4 linked regions of the Lonchura striata genome follow. The protein of the gene in region 1 interacts with the protein of each later gene in a pairwise test. Links are inferred from orthologs where the notes say so. Each region holds a gene or a part of one and is shown in the gene's direction. Other genes may lie near its edges. The genes, in order: TLE5, OSGIN1, FAM124B and CIB3.

What was found.
Region 2: the proteins of TLE5 (region 1) and OSGIN1 interact in binary tests that used the Homo sapiens proteins (3 or more experiments, as listed by UniProt). The two-hybrid records come from large-scale screens. The link is inferred for Lonchura striata from reciprocal best matches to the Homo sapiens genes TLE5 and OSGIN1.
Region 3: the proteins of TLE5 (region 1) and FAM124B interact in binary tests that used the Homo sapiens proteins (3 or more experiments, as listed by UniProt). The two-hybrid records come from large-scale screens. The link is inferred for Lonchura striata from reciprocal best matches to the Homo sapiens genes TLE5 and FAM124B.
Region 4: the proteins of TLE5 (region 1) and CIB3 interact in binary tests that used the Homo sapiens proteins (3 or more experiments, as listed by UniProt). The two-hybrid records come from large-scale screens. The link is inferred for Lonchura striata from reciprocal best matches to the Homo sapiens genes TLE5 and CIB3.

Annotation. Positions count from the first base shown.
Region 1 is NC_134630.1:4,158,643-4,165,717, forward strand, and holds the start of TLE5 (TLE family member 5), read left to right. Parts: upstream 1-4,058; 5' UTR 4,059-4,151; coding exon 4,152-4,178; intron 4,179-4,437; coding exon 4,438-4,535; intron 4,536-5,992; coding exon 5,993-6,056; intron 6,057-7,075. UniProt on the Homo sapiens protein: Transcriptional corepressor. Acts as a dominant repressor towards other family members. Inhibits NF-kappa-B-regulated gene expression. May be required for the initiation and maintenance of the differentiated state.
Region 2 is NC_134615.1:15,007,183-15,014,121, forward strand, and holds the start of OSGIN1 (oxidative stress-induced growth inhibitor 1), read left to right. Parts: upstream 1-3,937; 5' UTR 3,938-4,204; exon of another isoform or gene 4,205-4,219; intron 4,220-6,939. UniProt on the Homo sapiens protein: Monooxygenase catalytic activity. Involved in regulation of cytokinesis; promotes RHOA activity, probably acting locally at the midbody in late cytokinesis.
Region 3 is NC_134612.1:9,560,417-9,567,928, reverse strand, and holds the start of FAM124B (protein FAM124B), read left to right. Parts: upstream 1-4,492; 5' UTR 4,493-4,701; intron 4,702-5,623; 5' UTR 5,624-6,201; coding exon 6,202-6,930; intron 6,931-7,512.
Region 4 is NC_134630.1:4,655,256-4,663,177, forward strand, and holds the start of CIB3 (calcium and integrin-binding family member 3), read left to right. Parts: upstream 1-4,912; coding exon 4,913-4,963; intron 4,964-5,279; coding exon 5,280-5,314; intron 5,315-6,098; coding exon 6,099-6,210; intron 6,211-6,936; coding exon 6,937-7,084; intron 7,085-7,828; coding exon 7,829-7,922. Other genes in the region: AP1M1 (AP-1 complex subunit mu-1), read right to left, coding at 720-761; protein FAM32A, read right to left, coding at 1,787-1,855, 2,011-2,064, 2,158-2,296, 2,420-2,496. UniProt on the Homo sapiens protein: Acts a an auxiliary subunit of the sensory mechanoelectrical transduction (MET) channel in hair cells. Plays a role in regulating hair cell MET channel localization and function.

The DNA of each region.
Region 1 (7,075 bases):
CTGCATCCCATCGGGGCACCTGGGTGTCCCAGGGGCTGCAGCAGTTGGGGTTGGGTGGTGATGGAAGAATTTGTGCCCTGCCAATGCCATGTTTCTGGGGAGGAGTGCTGCACTTCTGGCTCCCTGGGAGCCTGTGCAGCCCCACTGCTCATTCCAACCTTTTGCTGCAGCAGGGAGACCTGCACAGCTCCTAACAGCAGCAGGAGAGTTGGGAGGTGGTGAAGGAGAGAAGGAAAACAGCCCCTTCTGTGAAAGAGGGACTTGAGAGGCAGGTCGTGTGTAAATCACTGCTTGGCCTGCCCAGCCCTTGCCTGGTGTCTGGCTGATGGTGTTATGCTATCTGGAGAAAGTTTAATATCAAAAGCCAATAATCTCTGTGATAGGAGGGATGATAAGGGGCAGTCTGGCCTGGATGTGGCAGAGGGCCAAGGTCCGGTGCCTGACCTCCACCACCAGTCCTGGCCTCCCCATCCCATCCCAGGTGGCCCAGACCTGACAGAGCTGTCAGTGTGGCAGCAGGGCTGGGCAAAACAAAAAAAAAACCCAAAAAAAACCCCCAGGAACCAGCCCTGCTGCTGGCAAAGAGGGGCTGGGGAAGCAGGGAGGCAGGAAGGGGAGAACTCAGTGAGCCCCAGCAGAGTGGCATGGGGCTGGCTGTGGCTAATAGCCAACAAGCTGCCAGCACTGGCCCTTACAGAACGCCTCACAGCTGTCTGAATACAGGGCAGCAGCGGGGGATTGCAGCCCAGGAAGGGCCTGGGGTTTCTTGGCAGGTGGGGTATCAAGGGCAGCTGAAGTTGAATGAGTTTGGTGGGTCTCAGCCCTGTTTCTACTGGAAGGAGGCCACAGGGTTGAAAGCACAAGTGAGGAGCTGGCTGAGCCACCCCACACCCAGTGAGGTCCTGTCCCTGCCACTCCAGAGCTGTGCCCCAAATTGCTCAGACTCCTGCAAAGCACCTGTGGGTGTGGGCAGCTTGAGGTGATGGCACTCAAAAGAGACCCTGAGGCTGTGCAAAAATGGAAAAAACCTTCCTTGTCTCAGTGCCTGAATTGCTGCTGTGCCTTCTTTATTTCTTCCTCTTTAATCCAGGGAAAAGAGAGAGTATTCTCAGGGTAAAAGCAGGATCTCAGGGCCTTCATTTTCATAATGATGACAGCATGGCTTTCACCTTGTGTCCAGAGCTTCAGAGCAGAAAATGTCTGTACAACCTCTCTCCTTGAACCAGTGCTGGAGTGGGATATAATATCTGAATAATTTACAAAGGCTCTTCATTACACAGATTTATTTTTGGCAGCTTTGTTAGACTGCTCCTTTTAGGAACTAATAGGAAGTTTCTCTAGGTTTCATTAGGACATCCCTGTATGAATTGTTCCAGTGGGGCCAGAGACTGGGACAGTTTCTTGCGCCATTAGAAATACAAAATGCTTCTGCCCTCTCTGTCCCTCATGGCTTTCTGGAAACCCACCTGCATGCCCAACCCCGAGCCAGTCCTGGTTGTAGCAAGAATCCAGCATGTTTTTATTCCTGGCCAAGATGTTGAGGGAGTGGGGGGCTTCCCCACATTACCTTCAAACAGCTTTGCAGCAGACAAAAATATTGGTTCACTTGGAGAGCTCCTACACAGAACTCCCTTTCCTGTGCTGGAAAAACCTTCATTTCTCAAGCTGGGTCTGAGGTGGGCTGTGGGAACCCCCACTGCTCACCAGGCTGTGTTTGGGGCCACCTCCTCTGCTCCCAGACCATACCCAGCCCCTGACTCAGCCTGGGCCAGGCTAAAATCCCCTCTTCTTCAGATGCAGGTGCATTGCCTGGCTGGAAACGAGCCCATTAAAAAGTCATTTACCAGGCACAAGTGAGTTTGTGTTCCCCTGGACTGGGATTTGCCAAGATTATACCATAAATTAGAGTGTTTCCTGGAAGAATGTAAGGAGAGAGGGAAAAAAAAAAAAAAAAAGATAAAATGGAACATTTTGTAGCCAACAGAAATGCCAATAAAGGAGCATTTCATTTCCCACTTGGAAGGGAGTGACTGCAAGCTGTTGCGAGTGTAGGGCAGGGTGCCTGTGCTGCTCCAGGACCAGGGGAAGGGGACAACAGGGACCTGGTGTGGCTGCACGCACACACTGACCATAAACTGCATTTCTCTGCCCTTGAGCACAGCTCAAGCTGGGGTGACTCAGTTTCTCTCCACGTAAAAAGGGGGACCAGGATGCCAACCCCACTGGGGGCAGACTGTCTGCCCTGTTTTCCAACCCTTATTCTGCAGGGACACGAAGCCTGCCTGCACTATTAATAATCCTTGGCATGAAGCTGTCACAGTTTCCACTAATATGGAGATGTTGAAGTGAAAAAGCTACTGCACAATATGCAGGAGGTGTCACAATAACTCATCTGCTATATTGTTCTTTTTAAAAATAAATACCACAACAGGCCAGCCCACATTGCTGGAGTCATGACATGTCGGGTTTTATTTTTAATCAGAAAATGTACTGATTTTTAAAGATAGACATGGAGCAACATCCAAAATTTATTAAAGCTCTCTGTGTGCTCACATGTACCGTGTTCCTGCCTGCTATTCTCCGAATGGCTTCCAAGGACTTGATCCTGCCTCAGCACGGGCACATTTGTGTGTGCAGCTTTGCAAGAGGCCCCATGGCAACAAAGTCCTTCCAGAAATAAAGTCTGTGGCTGAATTCCCCACCCCACTGCTCTCTGGGGGGATGCAATCGATCCTGCAGGACACCAACTGCAGGGTCTCCTCTTCAGGCAGCAGGTTTAGGACCAAAGTTTGCATCCAGAGCAGAACACATCCCATTGCTTGGAGATCAGAGCTTTCTCTGGTGGCCAGTTGTAGGTGAACTACCTTTTTCCTTTCCCTTCCCTCAGGCTCAGCCAAGGGCAACACTGAAATAAAGCAAAACGAAACTCTGGGTTAAAAAAAAAATAAATAAAAATAGCCTGTTCTGCTTGGGGAAGGGCGTGAAAATGAGCTGCGAAGGGCGAGGAGCTTCACTGCCCACCAAGGGCCGCTCCGGGGCTCCGGACCCTGGGCCGGGCCGGGGGCTCGGCGGGGCCGGGGCACGGGCAGGGACTCCCGGTGAGTCCGGGCACGGGCAGGGACTCTCGGTGGGCCGGGGCACGGGCAGGGACTCCCGGTGGGGCCGGGGCACGGGCAGGGACTCTCGGTGGGCCGGGGGCACGGGCAGGGACTCTCGGTGGGTCGGGGCACGGGCAGGGACTCCCGGCGGGGCCGGGGCACGGGCAGGGACTCCCGGTGGGGCCGGGGCACGGGCAGGGACTCTCGGTGGGCCGGGGCACGGGCAGGGACTCCCGGTGGGCTGGGGGCACGGGCAGGGACTCTCGGTGGGCCGGGGGCACGGGCAGGGACTCCCGGTGGGTCCGGGGGCACGGGCAGGGACTCTCGGCGGGCCGGGGCACGGGCAGGGACTCCCGGTGGGGCCGGGGCACGGGCAGGGACTCTCGGTGGGTCGGGGGCACGGGCAGGGACTCCCGGTGGGTCGGGGCACGGGCAGGGACTCCCGGTGGGTCGGGGCACGGGCAGGGACTCCCGGCGGGGCCGGGGCACGGGCAGGGACTCCCGGTGGGGCCGGGGCACGGGCAGGGACTCTCGGTGGGCCGGGACACGGGCAGGGACTCCCGGCGGGGCCGGGGCACGGGCAGGGACTCTCGGTGGGCCGCGGCACCGGGGGGCTGCGGGGAGGGCCGGGCAGCCCGGCCGGCGGGGCAAGGCCCGTCCCGAGCGCGGGGAGGGCACCGAGCATCCCCCGGGCCCCGCCGAGGGAGCGCGGCACCGAGGGCGGCACCGAGCGCGGCCCGGCCCGGCCCGGCCCGGCGGCGCCGCGCGGCGGGGGCGGGGACCGGCGGGGGCGGGCGCGGCCGTGGGCCCGCCCGGGCCGGGGAGGCGGCGGCGGCGGCAGGTGGTGCCGAGCAGCCGCAGGACGGAGCCGGAGCCGCAGCCGCCATTAGACAATAGGCGCCGGCGGCGGGAGCGGCGCGGGGCGAGCGGCGCGGCCGGGGCGGGGCGGCCGCGGGGCCGGGGCGGCCGGACCCGGCGCGGACAAAGGCGGCGGCGGCGCGGGCAGCCGGTGGCAGCGGGCCGCTCCGTGCGGGGACCGAGCCGCAACCTGACATGATGTTTCCACAAAGCCGGCACTCGGTACGGCGCGGCCCGGGGCCGGAGCGGCCGCGGGGCGGGGCCGGGCGCCGGCGGGGCCGCGGGGGCTGCCCGGCCTCCCCCGGCCCCGCGGGGGCGAGGGGATCGAGCGCCTCCCGGTGCCGCGGGGCGGCTCCCGGGCGAGGGGCCCCCGGTGACCTTGGGCGCTGCCCCCGGCGGGGCTCGGGCCCCGGGGCGGGCTCGGGGCGGGCGGGCCCGGCGGGCGCCGGCTCCGGCCCAGCGCTGTCTCCTGTTGTTCAAGGGCTCCTCTCACCTGCCTCAGCAGCTGAAGTTCACGACCTCCGACTCGTGCGACCGCATCAAGGACGAGTTCCAGCTGCTGCAGGCCCAGTACCACAGGTACGTGCTGCCCCCGCGCCCGGGGCTGTCCCGGCCGGGGCGCGGGGATCGCTCCGGTCCTTCTGCTCCTTGCGTGGCTCCCGGGGCCGGACGAGAATTTGGGGAAGGGGAGCCGCTCGCGGAGCTTGGGACGCCTTTGGCTGGAGGAGCGCCTCGGGCACGGCGCTGGTCGCGTCCACATGGGAGCCCAGCGAGGAGAACGCCCATTCCCTTCTCCAGCCAAGGTCTTTCCTCCAAGTGCTGCTCAGCCAGGACTGCACAGGCACTTGCCAGCCCTCCTGCCTTTTGCTGGGAGTTTTCCTCAATTTTTCTCGCTGGCTGCCATTCCTGGACTGCAAATGCTGCAGGGAGCACTTAAATCCAAATGCTTTTACTTTTCTGTGAATGTGTGTGGAAATAGTGCTGCTAACCCAAAAGCTGGCTTGAGACAATCTGTTGCTTTGCGTGTGTGTGTGTGCGTGTTTATGTCTGACATAAACATGAAGCCCTTCGGTTTATATTGTCTGGGCAATGCCCTCTGCCACAGCCTGGCACTGGTTTTGGTGTGTGCATTGGTGCCATGTGGCTGCAATGTCCCCCAGCCCGGGCTCTGCCTGCGGGCAGGTTACAAGTTTGTGGTGGTGTCATTTTGGCAGGAGCAGGCAGAAAAGCTGCTGGGAAGTGGCCATTTCCTGGTGTCTCTGTGCCTTGGCAGTGCCATCAGGGGAGTAGGGGTTCCTGCTGAAAGGGAAGCTTTTCCCCCATGCCGCTCCACCCCCTTGGACTTAATCTGCTCAAGAAGGAGCAGGTTTTGTGTAGGTGAAGCTGTTTCTTGTTTGAAACATAAAACCACAGCACATTCTGGCTGCAGTTGCTCGGCTGGTGAGTTGGAGTCTCATAAAACACTGGGAGCAGCGGCACTTTCTCTGAAGGGTGTGAAGAATCTAGGAGAGAGGAAAAATCCTTGCTTCTGGAGGGATGTGCTGCACTTGGGCCTCCCCCCCCCAGCCCCCATCCAGAAGTGGGTCTGGCTTTGGTTTTGATGTTGTAGTGGAACATCTTTTGAGTGCTGCAGACAGGTTCTGTGCCAGAATCTGTCCCCAGCTGCCAGCGATCTGTTGAGGAAAGGCAAACCCCTCCCTGGGCAGCCAACTCTGCTTCTCCCCAGCATTCTGCTTCCTGTGGAATGGATTTGCCTGAGGGAGGTCAGTGTTCTGCTGGTGGATAGCCTTGTGTCCTTTTCCTGAATGTGTGCTGGGGAGGGCTCCAGCTGAGAAATTGGGAGCAGGTTCTGTGTGGTCACTACTGTGCCAGCACAGCCTGTCTGAGCTCTGCTCTGGCCACCCCTTGAAGTCCAGATAATGATGTCCAAGAATCCAGCCTGGCCGGGATGAGGCCATGCAGGAAGCAGCTGCTCCGAGGCGATCAACTCTCTCACCTCCTGTTTGTGGTTTTCTTACTGTTTTCTGGCTTTTCAGCTTGAAGTTGGAATGTGACAAACTAGCCAGCGAGAAATCGGAGATGCAGCGTCACTACGTCATGGTAAGGACCGGCCCAGCAGCCCGGAGCAGAGTGTGTGGGTGGCAACACCAGCAGGTGCCTGTGCCTGGGCTCTGCCTGGCAGGGAGCCCACGCCCCGCAGAGCTCCAGGGCTCTCAGCAGGGCTGGAGTTGGCTCTGCTCTCAAAATGGGGCTGTTTTGTGTTGGCTGCATGCAGGGGGTTGTTGAAATGCACGGTGGGAGGGAGTTTTTTGATGTAGAAAATGGTGGGGGATTGCTTGATGGGTCCTTGGCCCAAAGGAAGTGACGGCTCTTACACACCTGAGGAGGTGATACAGGGTGCTGGTGTGCAGGTGTTTGGGGGCTCTGGGAAGGTCACGGCCAGTGAGAGACAAAGCAGTGCTCTGAGAAGTCATGAAACTGGGAAACCCCACAAGCCAGGTGTGAGTTAGAAGCAGAAATCAGCTTCTGTGCCAGGGCTAAACCCTGTGCACCTTGTGGTGACCTCGCAGCCTCGCTTAGCCGTGGTGCTGAGTGCTGGCACGTGTGTCCCAGCACAGGGTGTGCAAGCCCCAGGGCAGTGCTTGGTAAAGGCATGAGAAATGGTGCCAAGTGTGGGCAGCAGGCTTGGCTGTGGCTTTCCAAGAAAACAGCCATGTTCTGGTGAGCAGGGTGAGGGTTTGCCTGCCAGGTAATGCCTCTGGAGCCCTTGCAGCACGGGGAGGGTTGCCAGGCAGGGCTGTGGTCTCTTCCTTTCCTATCATGGAGTTAATGGGAGGCTGCAATACTGTCCATGAAAATGAGCTGGCTCCTGCTTGCCAGCTGCTGCACCTGCCCTGGAAAGAAGAGATAAGATGTAGAAATTAATAGAGCAGCTCTTCAGAGCAGAGTTAAGACTTAAAAAATGAGAAATAAGGGAGCTAGCTGGCCCCTTCATCTTTCTGTACTGCCCTTGTGACCAGACTCTGAGGCTGTGGGGAGCAAGGAGTGCTTGGGGCTGGGGACAAGGAGAAGAGGTCACAGCTTTCCTGGTGTATTAATGGGGAAGCTTGCCCCGTTCT
Region 2 (6,939 bases), on another chromosome or scaffold:
ATATAGACTAAAAGAATCTAACTAAACAATGACTGACTGTAGAAGCTAAAGGCTGTATCTTCAAATGATGCAGCACTCATGTAAATATTTTGTATATTTAAAAATGATGCAGAATTCATGTAAATATTTTTAATATATTGACATTTAGATAAGAGGAAAATTCCCAACCAGTTTCATGTGCAGTTTAATCTTTGACTAGGTCATGGATGCTGTTTGTTTGACATGAAAGTGTGTGTGTTTACTTTTCCCCAAAACATCGATGCTGAGCTCATGATGGAACTGAGGGCAGAGCACATGAGCTGAGCTTTCCTCTGCCTGTGGCATTTGGGAATGAAGAATCTGCAGAGATCCACTCCTGGGAAACATGCATGCTGTAGTCCCTGGAGCCTAAGGACTGGACCTCTTTGCATCCTACTAATTTCTGAAAGGAAACACATGTACTGGGAAGTAAAAAGCACCCTAGATCTGGCTATCATCCAGCCATCTGGGCCATTTTCTGAGGAAATGCCTGCACAGCCACTTGGCACTCCACTACTTCTCTACGTGGGTACTTCACATGTAAACTATTCCTGCAAAATATGCACTGTTGTCTCCACAAGTGTACTGGGAATGTCTCTTTCAGGGAGTGCTTACAGGGACTCTCTTGACCACTGCCAGCACTCTCCATACTTGCTCCCTAAGCCTGGACAGACAGGAGGTGTGGAATGTCCCAGTGAGGCACTGGCACTGGGGCACACACTGTGCTGTGCACAGGTCCTTGCTGCAGAGCAGCCAAGGGCATGACTGAATGCAGACAGTAAATCTTCACAGCCCTCCTGGGCAGTGTGATGGATTCTCACCTCCCCAAGCTTATTTCTTAACAGCTGTTTTTAAGACAAAGTGGTGGAAGTGGCTGATGCCCCTGGCCAGTGAAGGGTGGTGAAATTCTTTGGTTTCATCTCATTGCCTTAGGAAGACAACCCTCTTTGAACAGACAGGGAGTGATTTCAAGGTAATGAATTGAAAGCAGGGAAAAGCAAAAATCACTGTCTTACATTAGGTCCAGCAAAATGTAAGGTTTTGCTTTTTACTTTTCTCAAACAATTTAGCAAGTTACTAAGACAAAACTGTTTCAGTCATTTATGTGACTGGGAGGTCAATGTTCCTGTGAACAACAAAAGGGTGCAGTGAACCTTTACTTCTCTTCCTTTGGACCCAGCTGCCTAAACAGTGCAAAAAGAGGTATGAACACATAAGAGATATGGCCTTGGCAGGGACATGGGAAAGTTGGGATATGTGGTCTGGGCCAAATCTTTCTTTAGAGGAAGCCATGTGAAAGCACAAACACATGTAGGAAGTCACAAGTTTAACTGAGAGCAGAACTGGGTCTCATACTTCTAGAGTTGCCTAAGCTGCTTTTTCTGTCTGACCTAGCAATTGTCTGGGATTTTTTTTACCTCTGTCATTCAGCAGAGAAAGTCACATATCTCAGACATCCAACTGCTCTCAGGAGTGGTATGGCCACAACTTGCTGCTTCTGACTGGGGGATGCCCCAGCATTTACAAGGAACATCTTGCTGATGTGGTCTGGGTTGTGGAATTGGTGACAAATGTAGGTTTTCTTAGCTGAAGCAAAAAAACCCCAGGTAAACTGTTACAGTATTGATGTCAAACCATTTATTATCATTACATATGTGGGTCCTAGCTGTGGTATCTAAGTTAACATATAACTCTAAGTGTAAGCTTTTCTGGGTGATAAAGATGGAGATGCTTTAGGCAGCAAGAAAGTGAAGCTGGGTTTTAGGCTCTGCACAAAGACCATATGGAACCAAAATACTTGATCAGATTTTCCAACACTTGATTTTGTATTTTGTCTTAGATTAAATTATGTGCATTCTGTGTGTGAGTGAATGAAGAGAAGACTTAATATTCTCTTAGGCAGAATTTTAGATTTCTGTTTTACCATAATTGAGAGAAACACCAAAGCATCAAAGCACTACTGTGGCCCACGGAGGATCACACTGGGAGTGTTCCTCTCATTATGAAAAACCAACAGAACATGAAGTTCTAATGAATGAAACAATGTAGTTTGTCAGGATAATTTAGCACAGTCTGGTACACCTTAAAGCTGGCTAGAGGGAAGGGTGGATGCTGGAGAGGTGCTGTAGGAAAGGTTCTGCCATGAGCTGTCAGCAGCAATGAATTCTGACACCAGAGCTTAAGCTCCCCCAAATCAGGAGACAGCAGAATCAGGGCTATCTGACAGATTTCATAAGTAGGAGATGGACAGGTAGAACTTACATAACCTGAGGTAAAAAGTCAAAAAGTTACAAGGAAGTGTCTTTCTAAGGACATAGGAGTTGGTTCAGGTGCAAAGTATTCCCCAGTACAATGTTATGGCTTTGTCCTTAAATCTGTGCACCAGCAAAATTGCTTTGTCACTTCAGGAAAAAAATAGAAGTGAATTGCATTAGTTTGTAGGTCAAGGGCTGACTGCAAGGCCAACTACAGATTGCTCAATTACTTCTTCTTCTGGAAAGTTTATCCAAAGTGTTGGGCTCAGTCATTTGTGCGGTCAAGGTACACAAAGAGAAACAGTTCCTTTGACAAGTGCCTGTTCTGTGTGATGTGTTTCTTGGGATATCAATAAAAAAGAAGTCCCCAAATTGCTATGTTAAATGTTCTTATTGTACAAGCAAATAAAGGGCAGTGGGTTATTGTACATGAACGTTTTCCTGTAAAGGATTGTACTGTGCACAAAACTATGATGGAGCTTGTGGTTTTGGAAAGCCACCCTGGCTTTATTTGCAAAGGTAATACAGATTCTAGTTTTGTAAATTCTAGTAGGAAATGGACAGGATATCCTATCTTTTACAGAGAGGGCAACTTTATTTCTGCAGATTTGCACACATAGGAAGTATTCCTTATTTTTCTTAGTACAAAGCCAGCCAAAGCATTATACATGGTTTTGTCTTGTATCTATGGTATCAGCAAGTATGGACTTGAACATCTTTGTTCTACAATGTTTGACATGCAAGACTGCAATATATTGAAGACAGATTTGAAAAACCTAGTAACAGGGCAGTCTTAAACCACCTAAACAAACAAATGCCTTATTTTCTCTGAAAGCTTAATTTTTCCATGGCTGACATGGACACATTGGTTACATGCCAATAAATATCTGAATAATGCATATAAAAGTCTTTGCTGTCAAAAAATCTGTATGAGTTATTTAAGAGCCCTGTGCAAATGCTGCCTTGGATAAAGGCCCAGGAAATTTGAAAGAGTCCTTACCCCTCTCCCCACTCCCCCACTTCAGTCTGACAGTATTTACTGAGTCAGATTTTTCAAAGGATTGACTGGTGACTAAACTTTTAGTGAAACGATTGCTTCACATTTATTAAAACAACTTATTCTGGTGGAGTTAAAACAGAGTTTTATATTAAGTATTCTGCTCTGATAGGAGTCATAAGAGCAGAGAAATCCTTCTCATGAAATGCTTTTATCTTTTAGATCACATGAATGAAAGTATGCATTTTAACTGTGTATCAGCAGTCTGATTTCCTGGAAATTGTGGTTTCCAAACAGATGGCCTCAGAGATAAAAATGAGCTTCATTTACTGCTTGAACTGAACACTTTGGGAAAAAGGTATTTCATTTGTGAAGGGCATTTTAAATTTAGCAAGCCAGATCAATTACTGTATTGAGTAAGATACCTTGGATGAAACCCCTGGTGGGTTCTGAGTTTTATGCAAGCAGTTTGACTCATTTTACTGCTATTGTGCAAAAGGCTTAAAACACTTTATCTCACTGAAGAAAAAGAAATACAAACTGAAATCAATCTTTTCAGACCCACTACACATCTGTGATGTCCTGAGGGTTAAAAATGGAAATATTTGTTCAGTGCAGAGCTTGTGACAGGCTTCCTGTAAGCTGCTTTTGCTATAGTCACATTAGTCAGCTGAACATTACTAAGGAAGTTTCTCTACATTCATTCAAGAGCCGGGAAGAGAAATATTCCTGCTGACTCATGCTTATTGGTATTTTCCTTGCTCCACCTCCAGTCATTTTGGCTCCTCCTCTCCTCTCTTGCTGCTAGTTGCCTACTATATTTAAACAGCTGTTTTAGAGCAGCGAGAGGATTCCAGGCTTGTAGTTTGGTTTGCTCTCCTGACTGTACAGTCACCCATAAAGATCCCACCTCCCATCAGACCTGCTGCTAAAGGTAAGAAGGCTCCAAGTAAGTACAGAGAGCTCTGTCTGGTGTACCCTAACATCAGTTTCTGAGCACCACAGGGGTGTTTTTAGAACGGTGTTATTACATACCACAAAGCTGAATTTTTTCCACATAGTTTAATTGTGTTTGGGGAGGTAACTGGCCTGACATGTAAGAGTGATGGTGCAAGGAGAGAACAGCTTCTGAAACTTGTAGGGAAGTATAACATGTAAAAGCTGTCAAGATCTCTGCTTTTTTTAAAAAAAGCACTAATTGATTAAATATTAAACTAGTGAAACAAGTGAGTGGATGAGGAAATTAAGCTGAAGAAAACTATTGTTGCATCTCTGTTGTAATTGTTCTTTAAAACTGAGTGTTGTGGTACCTCTTTTAATCTCCCCCAGTGTTAATACCCGAGCTGCACTGCTCTCTTGAGCTCTCCCCATGTGCTGTTCTGGCCACACTTGGTGATTCTTACTTCAGCAAAACCTCACAGGCAGAGCTATCTGCACGTGGCTGATGTAACCTGGCTTTTTATTTCTCCAAGGCTCACAGAGTGTCCTTGTCTTGCTAAATGTATCTTTGCTTTTTCATTTGCTCATTTAAAACCTGTTTCAGGCTTACAGGCTGGAACTAGTAAGAGCCACCCTGACCGAGTTTGTGAGTTATAGTCCCTCTAGACACGAGGCTGTGTCAGGAAGGTATGCAGAGTTTGGCCCAGAGTGAGCTGGGAGCTTTTCAGCCAGAAACAATTATGTAACATCACACAGACACTGGAATGCTTTGGAAGCAGCAAGAAGCCAAGTTGTGAAACTTGCATTCTCTCAAATGAGGAGAAGGAAAGGGACATTCATTTAAAGTAGGAAGCTCAAAGCAGGAGCCAAACTCAGTGTCACTAAGCTGAGTAAGTGTGAGTGCCCAGCAACCTACACTACATAAAAGGAGGGTGAGAAGAGCAGTCTTAAGTTTCTTGCTGTCTCAGGCTTTTTTCCTGGTGCCAACTAGTTCAGTATAGATTGACAATGAACTTCAATGTCCTATAGCTTTCCAATGGCCTCTGCAGGAACAGGATTTCCTCTGCTACACTGTATGAGCTGCTCAGGTTTTGAGGTATTGGAGTCTAAAGCTGAAAAAAAAAAAAAAAGAAAAAAAAATTAAAATAATCCATCTTAATGCCTAATGGCAGGAAAGGTGAATGTTTGGCCTGAAACTAAAATGCCTGAGATGCTCTGAGCTCTGAATTTTACCCCCAAAAGTCAAACCTTTAGCCTACAGGATGGGAATAGCTATAAGCAGGTTCAGCACCTGATTCACTTTCTACTTAAAAATAAAAATTAATAGCTATGAATTATAGAGATGGCAGCTATAGGATATGAAAGGGACTTCTTCCATTTGTAGAGAAATGCAAGGATGGTTAATCTTGTGTTGATAGAATTTTCAGGGTCAAGTCTTCAGGAAACAAAATGTGTAGCACTAAAATGTCATTAGGGGTTTTGTGAACCCAGGTGCTGAATAACTCCATGGTTAAAAATGGTCACATGTGTACAAATCCAGTAATTTAATCAGACTAACAACTGTGCTCCTCTAGCTGTTACAGTTTGGTTTGATTGCAGAAAATGCTCCTTTTTCATGTGTGAGAAGGGGCAGAAAGGAGGGGGAGGGTGGCAGAGGGAGTTATCAGTGAGCGTGCGGCGCTGCTCTGTGCTTTATCAGGGTGAGAGGGGTGGCACGCTGCAGTGGCCAGGAGCCAAGGCAACCTTCCTCTAAAGTAAACAGCACTGCCAGCCTGTCTTCTCCTGGCTTGTGCCTTTTTTGTCCCCTTCAGAGTCCCCTAGAAAAATGCTGGCACCCAGCACTGACGCTGTGCTCACGCCTTACAGACAGGCTCGCAGGCTCCTTGTGTGAGCGCTGGCCCTGCTGCCCTGCAGCTGCTGCCATGGGCTCTGCTGGGCTGCTTCAGCAAAAATCCTGCAGATGTGCATGCAGTTTTCCCATGCATGCTGCTGCAGGGAGCTGGGGAGCAGAAACCTGGAAGATTGCTTCCAGAGATCTTGCTTTCCTCTTCCAGGCTCCCAGTAGTTTCAGAGAAATAAGATGTGTACTCTGTGTTAAGAAAAATTAATAAGCACTTCTCTTCTTGTGTAATACAGTTGTGGAGAGGGGGTTATTTGTTATCATGGAGAAGAAACTGCTGCTGACCTGCAGGCAGATACTGCAGTTCACTGGTTTCACTGCTCACACCAGTGTCCTGTTCCTTTGGTGTCTCTGGCAGTCCCAGCTGCTGGTGCTGAATCCTATTCATTGCAGCTCTGGAGATTTGTGGGAAGGGATTATTTGGGGGTAAACTTAGACCACAGACTGCTGAAGGTGGTGCAGGTTTTGGTTAATGTGGCAGAACCTACCCAAAAGGCTAAGGAGATCCTTAGGTGGTTGGGCTGTGGCTCCCTCAGTCTCCAGGGCTGTGGGGAGGCCTTAAGGGGAGTTCATCTTCTGTAGTGAATACAACTACCTTTGAGTCTCAGTTAAATTGGGAACATAAGTTTTGTTGAGATCCAGCTATCTTCAAAACTTGATGCTTCAGATTATTTAAATTAGAAAGCACAACTAAAATGTCTTTTAAGTGGTTCATGCCCTGTCAGGCAAAATGCATAAGAGTCTTAGATTAATGCTTAGTTAAGTAGTAACAGGCAACCAATAAGTGACACTAACTGTGTTCCAAAAATTTGGACAAGGCTGCTAGTTTT
Region 3 (7,512 bases), on another chromosome or scaffold:
TAAAATCTTTTAAATTAAGCCAAGTTTTTCAAGGACAGCCCAGCTTTTTTACAGAAGTGCACAGACGGTAAGTGCACTCTGCCCCATTCCACTCTAAAGCCACAGATGTTTAGGCTGGTGCTTCTGGTCTTCTTGGACACAATCTGACTTTTATTTACACACACACACACACACACACACACCACCAGTTTTACCTGCAAAGAAAATCTTGCAAATGCTTGGGTCTCCAGCCAGCCTGACAGTGTGCCTGCTCTCAGCAGTTGTCTGTGCTAAAGAAAGAAGAAATTCCTGCTCAGGAGGCAAAGGCCTGTTCCACCTCCCCCAGTCCAAACTGGATGGAGAAAAGGGGCATCCACCAGAAGGTGCAACTTCAGCCCCATTTATACATAGCATTCATTTTAGCAGTCCTATTTTTGGGAAGAAAAATTCACAATAAGAACTCCTGAAGCTCTCAGAGTGATGCTACATTAGAGCCTGGTGCTGCCTTACAATGGCTTTCAAGTTCATGTGCAGATTTTCCTTTGCAAAGTTACCAGAACATGCCACAAATCCCAGTTATACCTGAGTTTCCTAGACCTCGAGAGCCACTTCTGCTAATATCTGCTGGCTGTTGGGATCTTGCTTCTTTTGAAATTCTGTTAAAGATGAGGCTAATAATCTCCTGCAGCTTGTCTGTCACAGCATTTGGTATCAACTTAATTATGCAAATGTACAATTCTAGAATAATGCAGGATCCAGGCCAAGCCTCTTTTAATTAGATGTTTGGGTGTATTATTCTGTATCTCAGGAAGGTTGTCTTCAGGAAAGGGAGTAATTAGAAGCCTTCACGGTGCGTGGGTCTGACCTGTTCCTTAGGCTGGAGCTTGGCCTCGTGTCGAGGTCACCACCTCCTGGGGACTCGTCTCATTAGCACTCGGCAGGGTGCAGTCCCGCCCGGCTCTGCCGCTGGCCTTCCAAGAATTCTGCTTTGAGTCGCCTTCAACAATGCTAAATGTAAGCTGATTAAACAAACACTTCACTGGACCATGCAAGTCTTGGGTTTGTTTAGATCTGCCTGTTTTCTTTTGCTGGAAGATTTTTAAATGAGGCGTAATGTATATAAAAATTGCTGGGTTAAATCTCTCAGAAATACATCCTTGAAGCTGGGCACTTAAATTCTCATGTAGCAGGCTGACTTCCCCCTCGTCCCACTCTGATCTCTGGAAGTGTATTGACACTGGGGACGTGGCAGAGGGATCCTGGAGATGCCATCTTGGGTCAGTGCTGGATGTTGGCTCTTCAAAGTCAAGACACCAGAGGAGTTGGGCTTGTTCAGTCTCAGGAAGGTTGAGAGGGGATCAAATCAGTGTCTATAAGGACTGAAGGGAGGGTGTCAAGAGAACGGACCAGGCTCTGCTCTGGAGTGTGAAGCAATAGGACAAGAGGCAATGGCAGAAACTGATGGCCAGGAAGTTGCACCTGAATGTAAGGAAGAACTTCTCCACTGTGCAGTGACCCAGCACTAGATCAGGTTGCCCAGAGAGGGTGTGGAGTGTCCCCTCACCAGAGATATTCCAGAACCCTCTGGACACAATCCTATGCCATGTGCTCTGGGCTGATCCTGCCTGAGCAGGGAGGTTGGACCAGATGCCCCACAGTGGTCCCTTCCCACCTGACCTATTCTGAGATCTTTGTTACCAATGCTTTGTTACAAAATACTTTTTTCTGCTATAATAGCCAAGTGGCTCATTACATTTAGTGGGTCTTGGTTTGCCTGCATGGAGTGCCTTTGGTTTGGTTGTTTTTTTTGGTTTTTTTTTTAAGTATTTTAGACAAACTGAAAACTGAGGAAAAATGGACTGGCTGAGGACACATAACCTGCCTTTGGTGAGAGATGAGTATGAAAACCAACCAAGGCCATGCAGTGCCTTTCTACAACGTATTTATTACTACTAGGAAGCTCATCTGTGTCCCAGTGCTGCTTTTAGCCTTGCCCTTGCCCCAAAGCCTGGGTCAGCTGAAGAGAACTTTGTTTTCCTCTCGTTACTGTAGTCACCGGGTGCGCAGGGAGCTGTGGTTCAGCCCCGGCTGCGGGATCCCTGTTCCCGTTCCCGGGAGCCGAGGCTCGGAGCCGCCTCTCTCCCTTCACTCTTTCCCTCCTGGAGCCCCGGAGCTCTCCCTCGTCCCGCAGCGCCCGGCCCGGGCCGGCTGCCTGCGCCCTGCCCTGCTCTCCTCTCCTTCCCTCCTCGTGTCCCTGTGCTGCCGTCCCCACTCACCGTGTGCGGCGCAGCTCTCCGCATCTCCTGCCTGCTGACGGACCCTGCCTGGATTACTACTTTCTGATAGTTGGCTAAAAAGAAGAAATAAGAATAGCTTGGGAGAGAAGTTTGCTTAAATCAATGTAGTAAGTTAGATGGAGTTTTGGTATTTTGGTCATTGGGCCTTTAGTTCCTCCAAAGTGGTGATGAATTGGAATCACAGGTTTTGAAGCCAGAGACGACCTCTGAAAAGATTTTTGTATTCAAGTAAGGCCTTAATCTTGATTTTTATCTCAGTACTGTGTGTGATGTATATAATTGTCATCTATAGCAGGTTAATTTATTAGTTTTTCCCTTGTTATAGGCAGATCTTGAGATTGGGGTAAAATAAAAAAAAATGTTTTTAAAAGAAATTAGGAAGCCTGAATCATGTATTAATGAGGCCTTCTCCCAAGGTGCTTAGGTAATACATTCTCAGTCTCTCTCAAATTAATTACGTTCTAATAATCCTTGTAAAGTACCTTCCTTACAGATGTTGCTCTAACTTATTAAATCCTGTGATGCATCATCAGTTTTGGTGGTATCAGCTGGAGCAAAGGGCTCTGAACAGTGCAGAGCACTAGGCACAGCTTAGGAACTGATTATGAAAAGGAATTTTTAATTATCCTGCTGTGTCTTTCCATGTAGAATTTTACACTTCCAGCAGACAGTATTCTCTGAGGTTTCATACCATAAAGTGTTTATTAGTTGTTTATGTTTGGACTTTTGTGCAGGGCTTACCGGTGTATGCATTAGTGCCAGTTCATATTTGTCTTGCTCTTACACACAGCTGGAGTGCCCCAGCAGCTTCCTGCATGTTCTGCTCTGTTACCAGTCACTGCCATGTGGGAATGGGGCCCCAGTTTTTTTGAGTCCCATATCAGAATTGTTCACCCCTCCTCCCCTCAGCAAAGTGACTTTTCACGTAGGATTGAACTGCTATTTTCCTAATCTCTTGAAGAAATCTTTCTTGGCACGTTCAGTAGGTCACTATGAAAAATGTGCTTTTCCATTTGGCAGGCAGACTGGGAAGCTGGGGGAAGGGGAAGCAGAGAGGAAGACAAGGACTCATTCCATTCAGGGATCAGAGTGAAATCAGCACTTTGCTTTCCTTAGAAGATCCAGCAAAAGCCAGCACTTTGTTCTGGTGCAGCCATCCCTTTTCCCCTGAGACCTGCAGTGGATGAAGCTCACCAGGCTGCAGCAGTGAGGGCCATTGCACCCAGCCTTTATCCCAAGGTTTGGGGGGCAGTAGACAGGAGATGAAAGGAGGGCATGAGGATACCCTTGTCCAAGGCTGAGGAGCCTGGTTTGAGGCCTTCCCCAAGGACATTGAGCTGTCAGAGCAAGTGAAAAGAGGAACAGGAGGGTTTGGCTGGGTAGTGGGGCTGCCCCCCTCTGAGGGAGAGGGTCAGGCAAAGGCTGAGCTTCAGCTGTTCTTGTGCTCCTTGCAGGAGGATTGGTGGGTTCTCCTGACCCAGAGCTGCTGGAGAGCTGAGAACCAGCCCCAAAATTGTTCTCCAGGCAGCTTCATCAGGTAGGGTTTCAGAGCTGAGATTGTTTCCCTGTCTCACCCCTGCAAACACAGAAGAAACACTTGGTGGAGGGTTCAGAATTTAACCCTTTTTGTGAGTAAGGCTCAGATTTTTTGGCTGTTGTAAAAACAAGAGAGGTGGTGCATACCTTCATGAGCCTCTGTGGAAGGCACTTGCCCATCTGGAAAACAATTTGGCTCCCCCAGCCACAGTGGGGGCTGGAGAGGGTTAAGGTTTCTGCATCACTCCCTAAGCAGCCCTTACTCTCCACTTGCTCTGCAAGGTTTCACATCCCCAGTCCTCTGTCACCTTCACCACAGAGCTGCAGATACCCCCTGGATTTTCTCCAGCAGATTGGAGCAGGGCTGGGGCTGAGAGCTGCCCCAGCCAGCAGTGATGGCACTGCAAGAGGAAAGCCTCCCCGTGCTGCTGCTCACTGCCCTGAGAGGGAGCAGCGTGCAGGGACAGCACTGGGGGTCCTGCCACCAGCGAGGAGGGGCAGTGGGGCAGGCACTGGGCTGTGCTGCAGCAGCAGCCCCAGGATCTTCAGCTGGGGTGGGAACAGGGGACCCTGCTCATGGGAGCTGCTTCCAGCCACAAACCAAACCCTGATGAATTTGCTGAGTTCCAGGGTTTTCCTGTCCCGGCAAACTCCCTGTTCTTCACAGGCAGGAAGGCAGATGACTGCCTGCCCCTGCCCTGTAGCAAGGAGTTGATGAATCATTTCCTTTTCCATATTTTAGTGAAATTGTGTTGTTCAGAGCTCATCTAGAGCATTTTAATGCTTTGAGCACTTGCACTCTTCACTCTCTTCCTGCAATTGTCTGAAGGCTGGATTTTGTTTTTGCATGCTTCCCAACAGCAGTTGTTACTTGCTCAAAGTGTTGCAGGTAGGTGCAAAATAATTTTTTTTCTCATTTTCTAGACTTTTTTTTTTTCATTTTTATTGTACATAGGTGTCAGTGTATACTTTAAAGCATGAATGTGAGTTTCTACCAGTGAGAGAGATCTCCCTAAAGGAAACCAAGGCACTGCTGCTTATACCTTTAGACCTCGGAGATTTTACTTAGTTGAATATAAAGTTAGGGTCATATTAAAAAAATAGTTCAGAATTTTGAATAACAGACTTACTAATGCTGGGATTTCTTAACAGTGAACCACTGCTTTGTGTGCTTAGCTGTTTGAGAAGGAAGTTGGCATGTCAGCAGAGAGAAATGTGCTGCCCTTAATTAGATGGAGCTGGACACATCACCAGAGGCCCCAGTTTTGATTTACAAACTGGCTACAGTGGGGGCAGCTCTGTATAGGAAGTGGATTTGGCTTGACCTGTATTGTGCTGCTGCTGGGCTGGCAAATAGGGAGATGAAGGGACAGTGTGATTTATTGTCCACACTAGAAGAGACCTGGAAAGGAGTGTATTTTCAGCATTCCTATTGTAGCTTATGCAGTAAGCTAAGTATCAACATGTAAACCCAAGGAGCAAGAAAAAAAATCCTTGGACTTTGATTAAGGCTGCTGTTACATGAGTATCTCAGAAAAAAAAAAATATAAAGGAGAAAAAAGCAGCAAAGGGGACACTGAAAATGGGAAGCCTAGTATCCAGCTTCTATGGGTGATGTACAATAACCCAGGACCTGGTTTCCTGGCAGTTAGGCAGCAAGTTACATGTGTTGTGAAGGGTGTAATTACGAGTTAAGGTTTTTCCCAAAGCTCCTCTTTCCTGATTTATATCTGCCCTTATTGTTATCTGTTACATTCACATGGTTGGTCTTTTTTATTTTGTAATTTTGTTTTCCTTCCTTGTTTTCAAAGAATAGCTTATCTGTGTGCCCCAGCAGGGTGGGACTCACAGAGATCACAGGCTTTTTACAATGAGCCAAAGCCAGCCTGCTGACTACAAGGAAATTTGCTTAGGGTTTCGGCCACGAGTGCCACATGGGCTTTGCAAAAGGCAGTGATTGCACTGGTGGGACTCGGCTGGAGTCCGGAGCGGCCACTTCCACTGCCAGGAGACCGGTGAGCATCGCCTCACCCTGGAAAATCGCTGCTTGTGTTCCAGTGCTGTGCATCTCCGCGGTGCTTGTGCTGTGGCCGGCAGGAGCAGCGGGTGCAGTGCTGCTCCTGCACACTTGGGTCGCAGGTAGGCAGTGACCAGAGCCCCGGAGCCGGGAGTGAGCCTGGAGCCGAGCTCCGCTGGGATGTGAGCTGGGACCGCTCTCTGCACCTGCCCCCTCTGCACCTTCGCTGTGCTTCAGCTGGTTACTGCAAAGCCTGTAGGAGCCCGAGCTCGTTCTGTTCGAGGCTGCGAATACACCCTTGTGTTCCCGAGGCAAAGAGTAAAAGGAAGGCGCCAATTCGTCTGTTTTAATCTTTTGCCTGGAGTCTTTGCAATGGATGATGGAGCAGAGTCTCTGATGACTGTGCATCTGCTCACCCATTTGGGACAGTCATTTCCTCTGCAGCAGACTCTGGACCGGCTTTTGGACTGGCTGTGCCTGGACATTCGCCTTTTCTTGGTGTCTGAGCGAATTCCTCCCCTGAAGTACTACGAGAGATACCGCAAGAGGAGCTGCAGCTTTCCCGGAATATCCGTCCTGCTTTTTCTGCACGAGGACTTGGGAGAAGAACGGATTTTCCAGGTCCACGAGCAATTCCAGCGCCCTCCCTGGCGGTACCAGCGTGCCCAGTTTGCTAACGGGCAAAGCTCCCCCTATGCCCCATCCCACCAGGACTTCTACGGCCTGGATGAGCAGCTGCCCGTGTGGGGCATCCGCCGGGTGCGCTGCGGCCCCGAAATCCTGCGGGTCACCCTCTACTGCAGCTTTGAGAACTACGAGGATGCGGTGAGGCTCTACGAGATGATCCTCCAGAAGGAAGCCACCCTGCAGAAAAGCACTCTGTGTGTCTTCGTGCTGCACGCCACCCCACACGTGGCCGTGCAGCTGTGCCTGAAGCAGCTGCCCATGGGGGTGACGGCCGAGCCCCCCGACTCGTCAGCCCTGCAGTTCAAGGTGCAGGAAATCGGGCAGCTGGTGCCCCTCCTGCCCAACCCCTGCGTTCCCATCAGTAGCACCAGGTGGCAAACTCAGGACTATGAAGGGAATACAATTCTGCTCAAGGTATGTCTGTGGTGCTCTCAAGAGGAGGGTTTATCTACTTTTTTTCCAAGGAAAGTAGGTCTGGTTCAAAATGGAAATTATGATTTTGTTTGTTCATGTTTCTTTTGAATTTGTGAATGCAGTAATCGGTGTCTGCCAGTGCTGTGATGCTGTTGATAAATATAAGCACTGATCCTTGGAATGTTTTTATACAGTTAAATTAACGTCATTACTGTTTGCCTGAAATGCAGACTATTAATGATTTCATGATTTCTAGGGCACACTAGCTTAACATCTTCCCTCCTCTGCCTCAAAAAAAATGATTGCAGCAGCCTAATCTTTTTCTGATATGACATTGCTGCATAAATGTTTTTCAAAGCATATTTTTGGCATCCAAAACCAGAAGTTTTGTAAGTGTAATGTTGATGCAGCACTGCCTGCAATTGAGGTTGTGAGATCACAAGTGAGTTTGTAGTTGGGCAAAAGTGATAAAGAGCTGTGTCCTAGGAAATCTCTGCCTTGTCTGTTGAAGTGTGCAGTCCAGAGGTTATATGAATACAAAAAAAAAAAAAAAAAAAAAAAAGACAAAGTCTGTGGTGAGAT
Region 4 (7,922 bases), about 500 kb from region 1:
TAAATGATATAATTGTTAGATGTGATGATTGCTTAGTAATTAATTACTGTTTAATTGTAAGAATAATCATGAGAAACTGTGGTCAGGGGGCCTAAGGAAGATCACGAGAAACTCTTGTCAATGTATACAATAGAACAATATAAATTTAATAAGTTCCCATCCCCATTGTCAGTTTTCCATTCCCAGTTTTCCATCCCCATTCTCATGCCCACTCCCAGATTTCCATTCCTAATTTTCCATTCCCAGTTTCCCACTCCCAGTTTCAGTTTTCCATTCCAAATTTCCAATCCCCATTCCCATCCCCAGTTTTTATGTAAGTTATATAACGATAATAATATAAAATACGTTCAGCTCGAAAGCCATGTCGGAGTCAATTTGGGTCTGTACCCCTGATTCCCAAAGCTCTCAATAAAAGCACCTGCACATAATCATATCCCGCGATGATGTGTGCTCCTGAACGCTAACACAGAGATTAATCACCCCGGGGATGCCGCCTCACCCAACATCTCTACCGGCGAGGGGCTGCCCACAACTCCCTGTCCCCGTTTACCGGCGAGGGGCTGCCCACAACTCCCTGTCCCCGTTTACCGGCGAGGGGCTGCAGGCCACAACTCCCCCGTCCCCGCTGGGCTAAGCGGGGGCCGGCAGCCCGGGGAGCGGAACGCGGCCCCGCAGCCGTCCCAAGGCAGCGGAACCCGCAGCTCCGCGCCGGGCCTCACCTTCCCCTTCAGGTCCAGCACATAGACGGCGCTGGCCGACATCGCCCCGGCCGGGCCCGTCCCGCCCGCCGCTGCCGCTTCCGCTTCCGCAGGAAGTGACGCCGGCGCGGCGGAAGGACACCGCGGCAGCGCCGTTAAATAGTCCCGGCGCGCCGGTCCGCGGGCTGAGCTGGGCACGGACACACGGAGAGCGTAATTCGGGTTAAGAACATCCCGGTTTGGGAGTTCCGACATCGTGATACATCCCTCAGAGGGGGTAACAATCAAACTCCACACGCCCCATTTCATTCCATCCCAAAAAAGGGGTGGAAGCAGCGTTTTAATAAATTACATCGAATTTACAACTTGCAGCAGACCCCTCTGGAAGACAGAAATGATACTGTTGATACTCAAGATAGAAATGATAACTGTTTGCCACAATTACACACTCGAGAGACACGCTGATTATTTATTTCAGAGCTGCACAAGCCTCGATGCTCGGTGGGATCCCAGAAATCCAGCTATCAAAACTTGGACATCACTCAGAGCTTGTTGGCTGCTCTCTATTTTATGGATTAAACCTCCCTTCTTGCTGGTTAGGCTTGAAAGTATACAAAGATCAAATACCAAAGAATATCCTTTCCTAAAACAATTTTACATATTTCATGTTTTGCAACATGGCCTCTGACAGAACTTGATAGAAAGTAATTATACAATTCACATAACTTACAAGAGAAACTTAATGAGACTGTCAGACTCCACTTGAAAAAAGGAGTACTGTTAGAACTAACAAAATAAAAGGAATGTTTTCCATCTGGCTCACAGCAATTCGTTCTGGCCTTAATCTCACTATAAACACTAAAAAAAAACAGCCCTCTCCATCGATGTAAACCAGAGCTCCTCAGCCCACAGGAGACATTGCTGGATGATTGGTTTTAAATAACAAGTCTATAAAATAAGACAGTATGAAGTCATAAAAGCTCAGAAGATGTATTAGACAATATAGAGAAAAGACAGATTTACATGGCAACCCTGCTTGATACAAACAAAACACAACTCCAGCTCCAGAGCCGTGAAAAGCAGCCCGGTCATTTAGTCCAGCTGACTTTGGGAATGTCGTAATGCTCAGTCAGAGTATCCAAGTGCCTGTTGAAGTCCTGGGGGAGGCAAAGAGAAAGAAAACAGGGTGCTGACATCACCAAGTTGAACCACAAGCCCCCCCTGCGTCCCGGCTTGTGTTTCACAAGGCGGAACAGTTCCTTCAGCCCAACAAAACACGCTGGCCTGATGGACTCGGGATGGTTTTGCTCACCTCCACTCGCTGCTTGTGGGTTTTCGACGCTTTCTTCAGGATCCGTTCCATTTGCTGTAGGAGACACATTAAGGCCGGTTACTCCCGGCACTCGCAGCCCCCTCAGCGGCCGCACCCCAGGGGTGACAGCGGCTTTTAAACCCTTACCCGCTTCTCCTGCATCTTCTCGTAGGCCACCTGCGCCGGGGTCCGCTTGTCCAGCCCGCGCTTCTTCTCCTCCTCCTGCTTCTTGCTGCTCACGATCTGCTCCAGCATCTGGGCCTTGTCTTTCGCCTTCTTCTTCTTCCTGCGGGAAGCGCCCGGTCAGAGCTCAGCCCCGGCGCTGTGTGTCCCCTCCTCGCTCACGGTTCTCCCGACCCCTCCTCACCGCTCCCCGTTCTCCCCCGGTTCCCCCCGGCTCCCCCCTCACCGCTTGCCGGCCCCCAGGGCCCCGCCGCTGCCCTTCAGCCGCAGCGGACCGCGCTGCACTGCCTCGTAGTCCGCCATGGCGGAACGGCCGCGCCCGCGCCCCCTGCCGGCACCGCCGCAACGGCACGGCCGGCGCCGGGAGCCGCGCGCGAGCCCCGCCCGGCTTCTCCGTGAGGGGACCGGGAACGAGCCCGCCCGGCTTCTCCGTGAGGGAAACCGGGAACGAGCCCGCCCGGCTTCTCCGTGAGGGGGACCGGGAACGAGCCCGCCCGGCTTCTCCGTGAGGGGAACCGGGAACGAGCCCGCCCGCCTTCTCCGTGAGGGGAATCGGGAACGAGCCCCGCCCGGCTTCTCCGTGAGGGAACCGGCCCGTCCGTGAGGGGAACCGAAGCGGCCATGAGGTGCCTTGCACCTCCGTGAGGGGACCGGCCTCTCAGTGAGGGGAACCGGGACGGCCATAAAGCCGCCTTGCATCTTCGTGAGGGGACCGGCCTCTCCGTGAGGGGAGCCGGGAACGAGCCCGCCCGGCTTCTCCGTGAGGGGAACCGGGACTGCCATGAGCTGCCTTGCATCTTCGTGAGGGGGACCGGGGACGACCCCTGCACGGTTTCTCCGTGAGGGGAACCGGGACTGCCATGAGCTGCCTTAGCACCTCCGTGAGGGGAACCGGTAACGAGCCCCGCCCGCCCCTCCGTGAGGGGAACCGAAGCGGACATTGAGCCGCCTTAGTACCTCCGTGAGGGGAGCGGGCAGTGAGCCCAGTCCGGGGGTATCTCTGTGAGGGGAACCGAAGCAGGACTTGCAAAATATGGAATATATCAAGATTATTTAAAAATAGAATTTTTTTTTGATGTAAACTCTTTCTATACTTTCAAACCTATTCAGCAAGAAAGGAGATGTAATGAATGGGAAGACAGCAGCTAGCAGCCCTTAGTCAACAACATATGGGAATTAACAAGCTTTAGGGATGTAGTAAATCAAAATGTTGATGTATGTGTGTGTATACATTGATAATTTGGCAAAGGATTCAAGGTCTGTATATCCTACAGCTGAACTAGCTGAACTATCTTCATTATAATACTTAAGATCATGCCTAAGGGTCAAAAAGACCTTGCCCAGGTGCAGACCCTTCCCCATTGCATGTGGAGAAGTTAGCTGGGGATTGTCTAACTTGTATGGAAATTACTAAATAATCTTAATAGAGAGGCTGACCTTGGAAAAAGACGATGAACTTCTGTAAATAATGGCGTGGAAAGTCCAGTGGGGTGTGTTGGATTTGTGGAAACCCACCAAGCATCCAGGCTTGTGCAAATAATATCTCTCTCAACTGTGTAATTATTGGCTTGTTGCACATCACATAATAAATCTGATTTTGAGGACAACAGGATGGAATTGCCTTGAGGAGAACACCTGGAGATCTAGGCTACACCAGGAGGGACCAGCCCCATCCCTCCCCACACTTCTTGTTGCACTCTGAACAGAACCATTCCAGATCGTTTTTGCTATGGGAAGATACCCTGAGGAGCAAGCCTGCCCCAGGAAGAGATCTTCCACCAGTCAGAGGGAACCAGTGACCCAGAAATAGAAACTTTACAGCTCCATGAAAAAGCAGCCTGTTCCAGTTCCTCCTTTTTTCCCCTTGTTTTTCATCTTTCATAGCATCACATTTCTGTTCACAGGTATGAACTATACACTCACACATCTTTTCAGTGCAAAGGCCGTGTATGAATCAGTATGGATGGATGTCATGCTAATCACCATTAATTAGTAGTAAGATACGTCAGCAGATGATGCAGAAGGAAGGGAGTGAGCGGAATTTATGGTTACTACCTCCAGTACAAGCTACCACCAGCATTAGTGTATTTTAACAATGTGCATTAAAGGAAAATACTGGCACAGGCTGCCCAGGACAGTGGTGAAGTCACCATCCCTGGAAGTGTTCAAAAAAACATGTGGATGTGGCACCTGAGGACATGGAATATTGGTGATCTTGGCAGTGCTGCATTAATGATCTAAAAGGGCTTTTCCAAGGGCTTTTATAATTCTGACCCTATAAAATATGAGAAGGAAAGGAGGAGGGGCTACCAAATTTCCATCATTTGGTGTTAAATTTTAAAGGAGGAAAATGCTGCTAACACTTTTCAGTTTATTCACCATATCTGAAGGCATGAAAAAGCAGGGTCCACTGGGTCTTCTTGCAACTGAAGGGCACTAATGAGCAGCTATTACTTATTTGGCTAAATCCTGTAACCCGAGTCTTCGTGGTGCACACAGGAGACGGGTGAATGCTGCTGGATAAGAGCCTCAAGCAGCTAGACTAAAGATTTGATGAAATGCTCCTATTATGATACTTTGCAGCCTGTACAAGTTGGTTACCTGATCCTCTGCTGTACCTGAGCCTCATTGTTGCAGCTTTTAATAACTGAATATCCAGAGGACCTATAAAGGTGCCTTTGAGGAAAGAACTGACAGGAGTCAGTATTCCCTGCTCAAAATGGGCAACAAGCAAACCATTTTCACTCAGGAGCAACTGGATGCATATCAGGTATAAAGCAAACTAAATGGCTCTTTGGACAGGGCATTGAATAATGGCAAAGGTATTGTTGGGTTTTTAAAAACATCATCTTTTAAAAATTAATAAGTAGACATACTGAATTGCAGCAAAGATTTTAGTAACATAGTTTGTTTTTTATATCAAAAGGAAAGATTATAAAATATGCCTAAATGTATGCCATTAAGAATTTTTAAATGCTTACATGTACACTATAGTATAAATTCATTTAAGTCACTGCATGGGAAAAGTTTGGGTCGATGCATGCTAAAAACTGTCATTTTGTGTTATACCTTTTCTTACTTCATAGGACTGCACATTTTTCACAAGGAAAGAAATTCTCAGGTGAGTCTTCTGTATGCATGTTGTGAATAAAGGGCAGAGATTGCTGTAAAGGCAGGTTACATATGGAGTAAGGTATTTAAAAAATAATTTTTAAATGGATTTACTAAAATTTAAAGTGATACTTTGGGGCAATCTGAACATTTTTGTTGGCTTTTTTTAAATTTACAAACCCTATCCTTAACTGAGTCAGAATTCTAAATTTTGTATTAACGTACTAGTCCCTCTGTTTATTAGAAATAAATACAATTAATTACATCTTAGTGGCAGCGACATCCATATTTTTTTCACGTGGTTTTCCGACAGATGCTTCAAAGTGTGCTGTTATTCTCTGGAATACTTTGCTGGTTTATGAAAACTTTAATGATTGTGTCAAGTTTTCTTCATGTTTTCTTGTAAATGATTACACTGCTGCTCCAAGACATGTTTTTGCCGAGCCTCACTGAACTCCCTGTTTGATCTCTGGCCAAAGGATCTGATAAAGGCAGGATCGGATGGGACTGAGAGTCCTCTCTGAAAACATGAACTTATTCTCCTCTCACAGGGGTTTGGCTGCATGTCCTGTGTAAGCATTTTCACCTAACAGTTCTATAATGAAGCTCTGTATTTTTCACCAGTTACATGATGTTGCTTGTTCTAATAACAGTTGTTCCAACAAAAACATACTGTTACTTAGTGACCGATCTCCATCTGGTAATGGATGCAAAGAGTGCAAAACGAGGTGGAAAAGCAAACCACCTTGTTCTCAGAAATCCAAAGAGCCAACACGCTTTTCTCTCTGTCTCAGGTTGTTTCACAGGTACCGAGATCTGGCCCCACAGCTCGTTCCCCTTGACTACTCGGACAGACCCGCCGTGACACTCCCCTACGAGCTCATCGGCAGCATGCCAGAGCTCAAGGTACCCAGCACACGACTCGAGTGACACATTTCAGCTTCATCTACCCTTCTTGAATAATTCATCCAGGACTAATTGCTGGGAGGCTGCCATAAAATAAATTTGGGCTATCAAAGTAAAAAGTCTTTCTGGAAGCTTCTAGTAATTCCCAGAAAACACGCTGAAACAACACAAAGGTTAAATAGGGTGTGGCGGTGTGTGCTTCTGATACAGCATTAGACAAGAATTTAAAGGCAGAAAAGGGAGAAATTGCCAAAAAGGTGTTTCAACAAAAATAATCTCACTCCACTTGCCTTGCCTGCACTGAAATCAATGTTAGTAAGTATTGTAAATGCAGGCGAACCCAGTGGGAATAAATGACAATGTCTGACTCAATTCAGAAGGCTGAATTATTTCTTTATTATAACTATGCTAAAATACATTAATATACTATACTAAAACTACATACTACTTTCTCTGACTCTAACTCTCACACAACTTGTGACTCTCTCTGAGAGTCCAGCCCCAGGTGGGTTGGATTGGCCACCAGGCTCAAGCAATCCTCACCAGAATCCAATCAAGCAAACAATTCTCCAAACACATTCCAAATAGGAAAAACAAGGAGCAGAAATATAAATTTTTTTCTCTTTAATTTCTCTCTGTGCACCTCTATGAAATATCCTGAGAGGGAGAGAAATGTGTTTGCCACAAGTAAGGATGACCTTCCCTTGCTCCTGTGCTGTTTCCCAGGACAACCCATTCCGCCAGCGGATAGCAGAGGTGTTCTCAGAGCACGGTGATGGCAATATGACTTTGGATGATTTTCTGGACATGTTTTCTGTGCTAAGTGAAATGGCTCCACGAGACTTGAAAGCTTATTATGCTTTTAAAATTTATGGTGAGTGAGACATGCATAAAAGGTAAGTGGGGAAGTCCTGCAGCTTAATGTATGGCTGCAAAATCCTCACTTTGTCAGCACAGAGATTTCTAGTTACCATTTCTTTTAATTCCACTTGAATGTTTTTCTCCCTTCTCTAAAAACTTCTGGTTTTCTTTATACTTTTGTCTCTAATTTATTTGGTATTAAGATTTACTACCAAATTTACAACTTGAAATAACCTGCAGTTTTCAAAAGCTGATAATCATTAAGAAATAATTCTGTCTGAGGGGCTGCTTGGAAAAGTACAGCACAGGGGATTTGGCTGCCCATGAATCTGTAGGGTGGATTTGGGAGGGGGAGGCAGGGAAGCAAACTGCAGGCTTTTTTACTCCAAGGACAAATGTAAAGATTTTTTTTTTAGATGTGTATTTACAGTTACTTTCTTTATTATCAGCTAAAGACAATATTTCAAACCAACACAATTTTGCTGGAATGATTCAATGACTCCTAGGCTATTATGTTTAGCCATTAAACTACTTACAGTTGTTACCCTTTGAATGAAAAGAAGAAATTAAGAGATTTTTATTTTGTAATTGATTTCTTTTACAAATAGATAGAGGTAACTTCACTTCTGATTTGAGAATTCTACTGATAAAAATCCATCACAGCCTGGGAACCAAACCCCTCTATTGGGCCTTGGCAAACAACCATGTAAAATGCTGACTTTTGTTGCTTTGAATTAACTTTTGTCTCCTTTGTCAGACTTCAACAATGATGATTACATATGCAAATCAGATCTAGAGAAAACTGTTAACAAATTAACCCGGAATGAACTGACCCCAGAAGAAGTCAGCCT